Xenopus tropicalis: one gene and its partners. The protein of the gene in region 3 binds, or shares a complex with, the protein of the main gene of each other region. Links are inferred from orthologs where the notes say so. Each region holds a gene or a part of one and is shown on either strand. Other genes may lie near its edges.

Region 1 (4,316 bases), on a different chromosome or scaffold from region 3:
GCAGAACTCTACTACATTGCTTCAAGAGTCAGTCAGCAGTGCAGAAAGGGACAAACACAGACAGCTTTCAAAAGCAATTATATTTACACATAACTTTAAACCAGTGGAAATTAAAAATAAATGTATATTAAAAAGTTGTTTAGAACTACATTGGGGAAAATTGCACCTGTTAGCATCCTACAAATAGCAGAACATGTGAGGGAGGCATAGTGGGCACTGGAGTCATTTTTTCAATTAATTTGCCCTTCGAAGGTTAAAGACACGGTTTGCCCAACACAGCAACCCTCTCTCAGGGCTGTGGAGTCTGAGGCAAGTTTGGGTACCTAGAGTTGAAGGTGGGGGTACCATACACTAAGGAGTCAGAAGAATTTATGTACTGACTCCAGAGCCCTGCTCTCTTTCCATGTTTATATTTATACATATGAATGGGAGCCTAATACTAACAGGAATGTTGCTTCTCAGTATAAAGGTCACAGCATACAGGGTGTTTTGTACATCCATGGGAGGGGGATAGAATAGTTGAAACTGTCCCCAATTTACTTTGAATGGGTATTTCCTTCAAACACCCAGGAATGTCAAAAGACTGGGGGTCATTTATCAACACTGGGCAAATTTGCCCATGGGCAGTAACACAATGCAACCAATCAAATTGTTGCTCTCATTGTTCTACATGTGGCTGGCTGAAAAAGAGCCAATCGCTGATTGGTTTCTATGGCTTACTGCCCACGGGCAAAGTGTAGGTAAATGGGCTCCAGACACTTATGGCCCAAAGGTACCCAGTGCTGAATTTTCACGAGATAAGGGACTCTCATTTAACAGCACAGTGTTTTTGCACTACCACCTAACCATTTCCCAAGAGCTCCTTTGCATCTGAAATCTTTACTACAGGAGGGAGCTGTCATACTGATTTCTTGGCTAAGGCAAAGAGAAGAACACCACCAGCACCATGATAAGGAGCACTAAACTAAACACTGCAGTTCTCTAGTGCCACTCTCTGGTCACTGGGGCAGTGCCAAGCTGCAGATCTCCATTGTTAGCAGGCCGCATAGATTGGCCAACTTGGCAATAAGCAGCACCGCAAAACTATGAAGCTCCCCAACGGTACTGACTGTAAGAACCCAGGGGCTTGGCAGATGGTTACACCAGTATATACAGTGGCAGCAATTTGAAGGCTGTAATACTCAACATAGCAAAGCAGCTTAGAGGTTAACAAAGGGCGACCCTGGCTTGGGACAGTTCCTCCGAAGGCCCACTTGTGATTTGTGATTCATGTGTAGGGATTACCCCCTGAGCCTCAGGCTCCTGAAGCAATCCTTGAAGACAAAGCCCTTTATAGCCTCTTTTTTGCTAAAAGGTTAAGTGCTCAAGTGCTAAGTGCAAAATGCAGGGAAATGCAGTGCTCGCTGCCTTTCAAGTATTAAGCTGGCCATACACGCACCGATAATATCGGTTTCGTACGATATTCGGTGCGTGTATGGCAAGTCGGCGATAACGCAGGAAGGTGCTGATATCGGTCGACTCGCCGATCGGGCCAGTTAAAAAATTTTGATCGGGCGCCATAGAAGTCGCCTGACCAAAATCTGCCTTCAGCGCTGAATCGGCAGAAGGAGGTAGAAATCCTATTGTTTCTACCTCCTTATGTGCCGTTTCAGCCCTGAATGGTTTGTGGATGATTGTACGATCTTTCGTGTGACCAAGATCGCAAATCACCACGTGTGTGGCCACCTTTAGGCAGAATTGCCAAATATATGTGTGAAATGAGAGCTAAACCCCCAATTCACTGGGAGGAACCTGTTCAGCAGCCCCTGGTGCCACTAATTGCTAACATTCTACCCCAAGGCTGGTGCGCTTTTTAAAAAACAAACAAAAACAATATATTAATAAACCAGCCCATTGCGGAATGTGCCACAACCATATTACAGCTTTCCTAGGAATCCCACCCAAATGTGGAACATGCTCAGTTGCCCAGGGTAGAAGTATTATCTATTATAGTCACTGTAGGGTGCCCCAGTGATGTTAGGTAAGTTTCCCATCAGGATACAGTGCCTGTATATGTAGCGCTCCCACTGCCTGCAGGGAAGGTCGGCGCAGGCGCTTGGCTGCAGATGCTGCTCAGAGCAAGCTTTCTAGCATAAACTGCTTTTTTGCTGGAATAAAATCAGGGTGTCCTGCGCCCATCATGCATAGTACGTCCCATGGGGCCAGCATGCTGAATATGGCAGTGAGCCCACACAGGGTATCAGCAGTACCGGTACTGAGGCTCTCCCACCAACACAAGCACCCCCTACCTGCTCCATGTACTTACAGTGTGTAAATAGGAATGCACATGTGTAAATACAAGTCACATGGGCTATGAATGAAACAGAACAGGAAACACGCAGTCTAACATGATCTCCCTTCATTCCCCCCCACCAACCTTGCTGGGAGTAGTAGTTCTGCACACACCTAGGATGTATAAACTTCCTACTGCTGCAGCGCTCCAATCCAAAGCGCCCACTCCCGCCCCATACTTATCACTGACAGATGCGGAGCACTGACTTTATAGCGTTGTCTCTCCACTGGCACAGGTGCCGGTCTCCCCAGTGACCCCTGCCCGGCCTGCCCTGGCTCTGTCTCTAGCTCCCCCTTACCTGCGGTACGAGTATAGGAGCGGCCGTAGATGGCCGTGCCAAGGAGGAGCGTGTCCGACATGCAGCAAGGCTCAGTGCCGGCAAAGCTCGCCGGGGGAGGGGACGGAGAGCAGCGCGGACACACACACAGAGGGCACGGGAAGCCATGGCGGACAGCTGCTACCCAAGCTGCACCACGGCATGGACTGAACCAATAAGACTTCCGGCAGCGCTGGATAGAGTCGCTTTTAACCATAGAGATTACTGGATAGTCTGTCCCAGACCGGCTTTGCGATAACATTGATAGCACTTAGATGATAGAGAGGAGTAGCGGATAGAAAGTCTCGGCCAACAAGTGCCTACGAAATAGAGTGCGATAGTAGGGTAACACCAGGAGGCATAGGCACATATATTAACTTACATAAGAGAGCATGTTTTGGGCTTCCCTAAGGTTGTGACTTTAGTAACAGCACAGTCTCCTGATAATTATAAACTGCGTCCACGTTGCTTTTAACCATTGAATTAAAAGGGCTTAGAACCCACCAAGGTTACCTCAGTCACAGGCTGCACTGGGCAGAGATAGGAATCTGATGCAGGTCTGGAGTAAGACCCAACACAGACATTTCCAGTACTCAGAGGCCCAAACAGCACCCGCAGCCCAATAAATAGTGACTGTCTATGACTTCCTAATGCCGCGACCCTTTAATACAGTTCCTCATGTTGTGGTGACCCCCCCCAGCCATAGAGGAGCGGTATCTCGCTTCCTAAGGCTGATGCCACACGTGGCGTTTTTCCGCTGCGTATTTTCTAATTCTCTCGGCGGCTGAAAAACGCCTGATATCATCATCCATAGAAATAGCTTGAAAAGACGTGAAGCAAACCACACAATGCGGAAATACGCTAGAAAACGCCTTAGCACAGATTTTTCAAGCGTAGGCCGAAATACGCCAGTACTTGCAAAGCAAGCTATTCCTATGTATACGCAAAGGCAACTGCCAGACCTAGCGGAAATACGCTGCGTTTTTTGCTATTTCGTACTATTAGCACCGTGGCAACAGGATTTGCTTACGTCACCAGTACTAGGCTGAAAAACGCCATGTGTGGCTTGTGCAGCGTTTTTAGGCCGAGAAAAAACGCAGCGGAAAAACGCCACGTGTGGCATCAGCCTAAGACCATCTGTAATGTGTTTTCCAATGGTCTTAGGCAACCCCTGTGAAAGGGTTGTAAGAACCACTGGTCTATGGCATCTCCCAGCAGACCCTTTGGCATTTGCCAGAACTCACAGATTGTCAGATCAAAACTATGAACTGGGGGCATAACTTGTCAAAACTGTCCCACAGGGTTGACATTTTTTTTGGAATGGTGCAATAATCAGGGGTGTAAATGTGGATACCCATAGACAGCTTAGGTACCAACCCTTAAGCTGGCCATACACGCACCTCGTTTTGTATGATATTTGGTGTGTGGCAACTTGAAGAGGCAACCGATATCGCAAAAGGCTTCACTGACGTTCAGGGCTGAATCATCAGTTATGGAGGAACAATAGAAATTCTACCTCCACCTACCGATTCAGCCCCGGAATGTAGATTTTGCCTGGGCGCCAATCCAAATTTTTTAACTTTGCCAATCGTCTGCAATTGTTGCGCGAAAGATCATTATTGCTACGTGTATGGCCCATTAGAGGGGCCCATATATGGCCCTTCAGAC
Region 2 (3,650 bases), on a different chromosome or scaffold from region 3:
TCTCTTCTAGTCAGATAGGGCAACTGCACTCTCTGCGTTAGTGATGCAGCCCCCCCAGACCCTGTAAGTTCTGGGGGCGCCATCACAAGAGCCACCTCAAAAGGATAGAATTGCCCCTCTGGGCTCGTTGACGTTTCCTCTCCTGACTAGTCTCTCTGTAGGACCATAGAATGATTTGATTGTTGCCCTTGGGTGGGGGGCAAATGATTGGATCAACCAGATTTGACATATACTTGTTTAGCAACCTCATCATATGAGCAGACCTTTATGTGTATGGTCAGCATAAGGCAAATAAGGAAAAAGTTTGTTATACATGGTGTTTAACTAGGAGAGGAAATTTTTGCAGGAATGTAATTCTAAAACTGATTGGCACTAAAGTTATATTGTCTCCCCCGAGCCCCTTCACTTTTGTAGACCACCAGCAGTGTTTCAGTAGCAGCGATTAGGCCAAAGCACTAACGTTTGCCCTATAGTTTGCCAAGCCCCACATCACCGATACATCTAGGAGGGCCACAGGTTGCCCAAGTCAGGCTTAAATACAACTGTTAAAAATTAGGGTTAAATTGAGCAGTAATAGTGCATCCCCTTTATACAGCAACTATTTACACACTACTCATAAGGATCAAACATGTTTTTTCTGTTTTATGTTTAATTTAGTTAGGTTTGGTTTTTATCCAGGCTCTGCATACCCTTTCATTGTACTGTAGTACAGAAACCTTCACTGTTTCACGCAGGCGTAATATGAAGGCAACCACTGTGTATATTACTCGAGCCTTGTTCTATAAGCTCAATACTACACGGAGAGTCGAGGCTACAAAGATCAGACAATGGCATCTCCGGAAGCAAAAGGCTGGTAACTAAAGTAATAGCAAGAGTTTGTGTAACAGAGGCCATAGCACAGAGCTATATGGCACAGAATCCAGCTGGAACCGATCCCCTGTAGGCTGCCGTTTAGTGCTGAGTCCACTTTATGCTCTTTAAGTCAATTCCGTCCTGGACCATCTCCCATAACGGGCTGCAAAGAAATCAGAGAAGGTGAATCACTGCTATATAAATCCAGAACAAAACTGGGCCCACAGTGGGGAAAATTTGCACATCATCAAGGAACATTAATGTCTACATCACATTAAAGGTTAATTCTGAAAAGAGAACCCTCACCCTTTATAAACATTCTTTAGGTGGCCATGCAATGGCAGATTTAAGCTGCCGATTTGGCATCTTATCTGCCCGTGTATGGGGCCCTCAAATGCGCCTCCCTAACCGATATCTGCCCAAAAATTGGCCAGATGTTGATTGGGCCAGGATTGGACCGGATTACTCCGATATTGTCAATCTAAGGGGGTATATCGGAGAAAAGATCCAATCATTTGCTGACCTCATCAAACAAGCGGATCTTATACTGTATGGCCACCTTTAGTCAGTAGTTCCTGCTTAAAGCAGACTACCTATATCAACTACTGACGAGTATTCCTTTAATCATTCCCTCTAATTACAGCGTATATCTTCCTCACCTCATCTCCCGCAGCCGTTTTACTTCTTCAACACACTTTTTGACTGTGTAATCAACTTCTTCCTCAGTAGTAAAACGCCCAATGCCAAATCTAATGGGCAGAAATTACAATTTACATATAATTTTGAAAATATACAAAGTTCCACAGTCTCAGCAGGGCTATAAAATAGAAGGGTTTATAAATCACACATACAGCTTACATATACATAGACACATTTAAGATCATATCTGGTCAATGTAAGTCCTAGACATAGATAGTAGAATTTCTCACATGCACACCCAAACCTCTCCAGCAAGTTAGGGGGGACGGCACCAGTGTCAAAACGCTGAACCAAAAGGGATTACCAGCACAGTGACACACAAGGGTGGATTCCCTGCTTGTAATCGCAAACACTGCGCTGGTAATTCCTTTTGGTTCCTAGACTTTTAGTTGCCTTGATGTATGGTGCTTCACATTACGGAAAGATCATTATCCTATTTGGGCACAAAACATTCTTCCAAACATAAAACAAGTAGCAAATTAAGATACAGTGAGTAAAAACAGACCTTATAGATGAATGCGCCAAGTCCTCATCAGCACCGATCGCACGCAAGACGTAAGATGGCTCCAGAGAAGCGGACGTGCAGGCGCTAGAGGCAGAGGGAAAAAACAGTTATTCCAATCACAGAGAAATTTTTTTATTTAATCTAAATTTAAAAAAGTGTTTCTTACAGCATTGGATCCCCCTAAAATTGGCTGTATAATTAAATATATATATGAGGCAAAGGGGTTGCAAGGAGTTACAGGACGCTGTGTGTTAGTAGGGCTATAACTTACCAGGCATTGAGATTCTGGCTGTTGGAAGTGATATATATTAATATCAGTGCTTTACAACTGTGAGGCTGCACTGGATCAGGAGCTGGGGTGAGATTTTGGGGGAATGCCTATTGCCAGCTTGGAGAAAAGTCTGAGAGTTGGAGTAAACATGTATTTGCTTTCCTAGATGTTCTTGGAACTGTGGCTGTATGACTGATAGATCAATGTTTTCCCATACATATAACATGAGCTGAGAGTGTCCCTGCCTGAAGGTTGGACCTCAGATGGGGGTTTGAATAGAGAGACTAAGAAACACTGAATTAAGCTGCCATTTAATTACAAAACAGAAAACAAATGTGTGCTCCATACCTTCCAGATGATAAGGCCACATCTTTAAGGGCCATCAGTAAGCTTTCCCCTTCCACATAAGCAAAGGAAAGGTTTATGCATCCTGTGGGGGCAAGAAAGTGTGATTATTTTACAGTTATATAATGGCCACAGTTTACATATCCCAAAAGCTACAGTTTCAACAGTCAGAAAAATGTTAAGTTCCATCACGGAAAGTAAGACATTAATCACAGTGACTGATGCAAACTACAGGTCATATACAAAGACAGATGGAAGACTGTAACCAGACCATAGGAAAACTTGGCACGTAGGGTGTTCTGCCCACTACAAGCAGTCAAACACCCCCTTTGCCTGTTACAGTTCCTAACGTTATACAATGGCAAGTGAACATTTGGGCACAGAGGTCTAACTGTCACAGATGAGTGTGTGTGCCACCCAAGGCCATTAATGTTGTGACAGGTGGAGATGGGCTTACAGCTGGAGGGCACTGGTGGTCAAAACACCCCGAAAACCTTAAGCTATGTGGAAAAGAATCCCAGTAATTGTCTGAGTCAGGAAATGTAACCATACAATAAGCCCCGTAATATAAGCCTGACAATTCATTTCATGCCCTTACAAGAGGACAGGCTGTTGGCTTACATACGGGACATTATTTTCTAATCAAGTGGCAAGGTGGCTACTTTCCGGTTCTAAGATTTTAGCTTTACCTGCCCTGACTTTTCAATGTTTACAGCCATTTTTGATGCCCACCATACAAATCAGTGTATTAGGCACAAATAACAAAGTCCCTTAGCTTAACAAATGCAGCTGGGGGAGGGGAAGGTATTACCTGGGTACCGATGCTCTGCATCTCCGTTTAAAACAACTTCAGGAATTTGGCTCATTATATTCTGGGTGAGTCTTTTGGCTAGAGCACTGATTCTTCTGTGATCATACTGTAACATAGATGTACAATTGTAGAGTATTAATGCGCCAATGCACAGGAGATAGTACTCA
Region 3 (4,194 bases):
GCCACTGAAAAAATACCATATGGTATATAAATCCCAATTACTGAAAGTGCCCTTATCCAAATGTTTTCTATATATATATATATATATATATATATATATATATATATATATATATAAGAAAGTAAAGTAGGTTTTGAGTAAGTATGAGAAGAAAATGTACCTGTAATTGTAAGAATTGAACCTCTGGCTTTCTCTTAGCATAATCTTGTAGAGAGACAACACTTGTGACCGGCTGGAGGCTGCCATTTTTCAAAGATTATGTGATTCTGTTTCAAAACAACAAACTTTTATTACTTCGAGACTCTCCAGCATTAACATTAAAATATAAAGCAATATAAACAAATATAAAGCACATTGTAATAATTGCAAATATAAAATAACTTTGTGGCAATTAGACATTATATTATTCTTTTCAATATTATATTGATCATATATTCATGGTAATTCATTTTTTTAAATTAGAAGATGTTAAGATGTTAGAAGACAGTTTGCAACTGGTCTTTTTCTAGCCTTTATTTACATGTCCACTTTCTAACCTCTTCGAGTATGTCCTTAGCGTAACTGGCTGAGGCCACAAGCACACTACCATTTGTGATATACATCTGTATACACAATTCTGGGGGCACTCAAAACACATCTTAAAAATTAAATGTTACTGTCATGCAGTTCAACTGGATATGCTTTTTATATAAAACTCCATCCCAGGTAGTGATGTCATGTATGCAATTTAACCAACTTTATATAAATCCTTGCCTTATCTGTATATTTTGAGAGTGAAGTTTGGTGCATGTTGGGTGAATGGCTATATATGATCTGTGAACAGCTTACATTCTTCTAAAATCGAGGAAAAATGAAAGTGAAAAATGTTAGCTCCTCCTCTTGTATGGGATCCAATTTTTTGCACAATAAAAGAAAATGTAATTATATGTAACTTTCCAATATACATTTATTGAACAATTTTAACTTGTACATGCAGTTAAAATGACTCATGGTACATCCAAATTAAGAAAGTGATCACACTGTGATTAGTACAGTTGAAAACCAATCCAATTTCAATGTACCATAAATGTGCATGAGTTCTTGAAGAAGCCACGATGGAAAAATTATATTAAATATGAAAATAGCAAAACAAATATGGCCTCAAAATAAATCTGTTTTCTATTGCCTAGCATAACTGACCCTGATAAACACCTTTAGTATGCAGATATTGATAAAGTCAATTTGCATTTGGTCTTCATTTTTTATGGTTTTTTATTTATTAAGCTTTTTTTGTTCAGCAGCTCTCCAGTTTGGCATTTAAGCAGCTATCTGGTTACCAGGGTGCAATTTACCAGTGATTGATAATATGAATAGAAAAGGGGCTGCATAGAAATAAAGGTAAATAAAAAAAACCCAATAATAATAAAATTGAAGCCTTACAGAGCAGTAGTTTTTTTTAAATCTGGAGTCAAAATAAGAAAAAGGCAAATAACGCTGGAAAATAAGAGAAAAGGCACAAGTTACATAGCAGATAACAGATAAGCTCTGTAGACTCTGTTATCTGCAGTGTAACCTGTGCCTTTGCTCCAATTTTCCAGTTTAAATGACTGCCCCATGGCTACACAGCAGAGTATTTTTAAATTACAGTAGTGTTGCTAAAAGCAAACACGCAACTTTTTCTAGTGCAGAGTAACAGTACCTTCATACGTTAATTACTTTGATACATTTTCATTTTTTGGTGTTACTGTTCCTTTCTATTCCTAGCAACTTTGCATTTGGTCTTCATTATATATTACAGTTTATTAATTATTTGCCTTCCTTTTCTGCTTCTTTTCAGCTTTTAGATGGGGTCCACTGAAACTGCCACACAAAAATCTATTGCTTTCTGAGGCCACAATTTTGTTATTGTTACTTTTTATTACTTATCTTTCTATTTAGTCCTTTTTATTTCCCAGTCTCTCATTCAAATAACTGACTGGTTGCTAGGTTAAAAACGACCCAAGCAACTAGATAGCTGCTGAAATACCAAACTGGAGAGCTGTCGAACGAAAACCTAAATAACCACAAAAAATAAAACAATGAAGACCAAATGCTAATTGTCTCAGAAACACTCTTCAAAACTATTCACAGGGCCAGAGAGATGTTAATAGAGTACTTAATGGATAGGAAAGCCACATTTTTTTGACTGCAGTTTAAATGTGAATATTAACATTTAAACTGCAGTACAAGAGAAACATATTTTCTCTTTTCACAAATTTATTTTTTTTCCTTTTGAAAAGAGGTAAATGTATGACATGAGTTGTAGTTATCTCACAGTGCCAGTTGCTGAGTAGATATTTCACAATGCCAGTCCCTGAGTATAGGGAATATTATGGTTTTACATGACAAATCGTGACAGCTCTGTAACTGAATTTTCTTACAGCTTAAACTCCATGTCAGTTTAATACGGAGTTAACATACAACACTGAGGCTTAAGCGTGCAGTGCGAATTAATCCTGACACAGGCTAATAATAAATGCTGAATATTGCACTATTACAAATAGCGCTGGGGTGCAATAAGTAAATAGAGCCTTAGGAAGATGCAGACACTCACACTCCCTATACAGTTGATAGGTGAACCAGCGTGAAAGTCTCTTCCCTTCTTTCACTTCTTGCCTACTTTCAGCAGCTTCTAGCGCAAGAACGCATGACGTCACGACTACAGGAGGGGATCTGGGACAAACGTGTTCGTGCCGCGTTTTGCTTTCGGTTGGAACTTTTGTGGTATTTTCTGTAAAAATGCTATTTGCCTAAAAAGCGCCTACGGCAAGTTGTTCCTCTTATCGTAACAGTCATATGTCTTTGTAATATCAGTGCTAAACTTTTAAATATTAAAGATACCTAAATCGGCGATCTATGGAAAATGAGAATGTCGTCGCAGCTGCGAGCGTTGGACCAATAGGGCTTTCTTTTAACACGTTTCAGGGATGTTAGAGTAAATTTACGCCGCTGACATGTTTGTCCCAGGTCCCCTCCCGTAGCTGTGACGTCATGGGCTCGTGTGATAGGATCTGCTGAAAGTGCCAAAGGAGGGAGAAAAGGGAAGAGACCTTCACATTGTCACATAGATTACCTGCTGCTTAGGTCGTGTGAGTGTCTGCACCTTTAGAACTATATGTTAAGCTATGTAGTAATAACCATTTATTGTATAAATATATATGTAGGCTACGTAGTAGATCTAATTATATTAGCTGTTTTAATACATGCTTTATATTACAACCTGTATTAAACTGGCAAATAACGTCAATACCCCCATCTTTAAACTATAAATGTTTTAAATAGGCAGTTCAAAGTGTATAGGAAATCTGTTCTTCATTATTCTTTATTATTCTTTAATATATCATACTCCCAGTACCCACTATTGGCAACATTTGGCTCTGCAGTTGTTGGGAGAATTGTGTACACTCACACACTTAACAGTTATACATTTATTAAAAATGTACTTGCAACCAATCTGTATTCTTTAAAAATACAGACAGTCCATAAGTAAGGAAGAAACACTCCCACAAGAAGACTCACTCACCATACCTGCACACATGCATTTAAAATTATATTGACACATGTATGATTTAGAGTGGCTCTGTGTGCTGCTATTAATGCATTTAGTAACTAAGCAGCATTTACAGTTTTTGTGTGATATTGTGTTGTAAGAACTAAAAACAAGTATATAGGTTCCTAATTGAGAGATTATGTTGGCGCCATATTTATGCGCTACCCATATTGCCATATACATTTAGGGGCACATTTACTAATCCACGAACGTCCGAAAAGCGTCCGAATGCGTTTTTTTCATAATGATCGGTATTTTGCTACTTTTTTGAGTGCTCAATACGAAAGTCGCGACAATTCACGAAATTTGTAATGGCAATGAAAAAGTCGCGACAATTCACAAAAGTCATAATAGCTATGAAAAAGTTGCGACAATTCGCGAAAGTCATACTGGCTATGAAAAAGTCGCGACAATTCGCGCAAGTCGTAACGGCTACAAAAAAGTCGCAAAAAATACGAAAAAGTCGCAAAATGTCCGTTTTCCAATCCGAATTTTTCCCATTCGGATTCGTGGATTAGTAAATCAGCCCCTTAGAGTAATAATTGTAGAAAACCATTGCACAAAAACTTCCAGCTTTGGCTCTGCAACACATTAATATACAACAATGTTTTAGGTGAGTCAAGCAT

What was found.
Region 1: the proteins of lyrm4 (region 3) and ndufab1 are in contact, whole or in part, in a crystal structure (PDB 6ODD), measured with the Homo sapiens proteins. The link is inferred for Xenopus tropicalis from reciprocal best matches to the Homo sapiens genes LYRM4 and NDUFAB1. Residues at the interface, in NP_065141.3 of Homo sapiens: Arg6, Leu10, Ser11, Tyr13, Arg14, Leu17, Arg18, Lys21, Arg37, Phe40, Arg41, Lys44; in NP_004994.1 of Homo sapiens: Lys92, Asp111, Ser112, Leu113, Asp114, Val116, Glu117, Met120, Glu123, Asp124, Glu129, Ile130, Asp132.
Region 2: the proteins of lyrm4 (region 3) and nfs1 are in contact, whole or in part, in a crystal structure (PDB 6W1D), measured with the Homo sapiens proteins. The link is inferred for Xenopus tropicalis from reciprocal best matches to the Homo sapiens genes LYRM4 and NFS1. Residues at the interface, in NP_065141.3 of Homo sapiens: Phe23, Tyr26, Asn27, Tyr28, Thr30, Tyr31, Arg34, Arg35, Asp38, Val65, Arg68, Gln69, Ile72, Thr78, Asp79, Lys80, Leu81, Ile82, Ile83, Asn85; in NP_066923.3 of Homo sapiens: Leu56, Arg57, Pro58, Leu59, Pro68, Leu69, Pro71, Arg72, Leu74, Asp75, Leu78, Glu314, Tyr317, Arg321, Asp372, Arg412, Phe413, Thr414, Thr415, Glu417, Glu418, Tyr421.

The regions. Positions count from the first base shown.
Region 1 is NC_030685.2:20,205,414-20,209,729, forward strand, and holds the start of ndufab1 (acyl carrier protein, mitochondrial), read right to left. Parts: upstream 2,811-4,316; 5' UTR 2,778-2,810; coding exon 2,631-2,777; intron 1-2,630. UniProt on the Homo sapiens protein: Carrier of the growing fatty acid chain in fatty acid biosynthesis.
Region 2 is NC_030686.2:42,814,048-42,817,697, forward strand, and holds part of nfs1 (cysteine desulfurase, mitochondrial), read right to left. Parts: intron 3,590-3,650; coding exon 3,484-3,589; intron 2,758-3,483; coding exon 2,676-2,757; intron 2,141-2,675; coding exon 2,057-2,140; intron 1,602-2,056; coding exon 1,512-1,601; intron 1,016-1,511; coding exon 952-1,015; 3' UTR 1-951.
Region 3 is NC_030682.2:88,245,264-88,249,457, forward strand, and holds the start of lyrm4 (LYR motif-containing protein 4), read right to left. Parts: upstream 2,884-4,194; 5' UTR 2,860-2,883; intron 2,693-2,859; exon of another isoform or gene 2,573-2,692; intron 267-2,572; 5' UTR 247-266; coding exon 161-246; intron 1-160.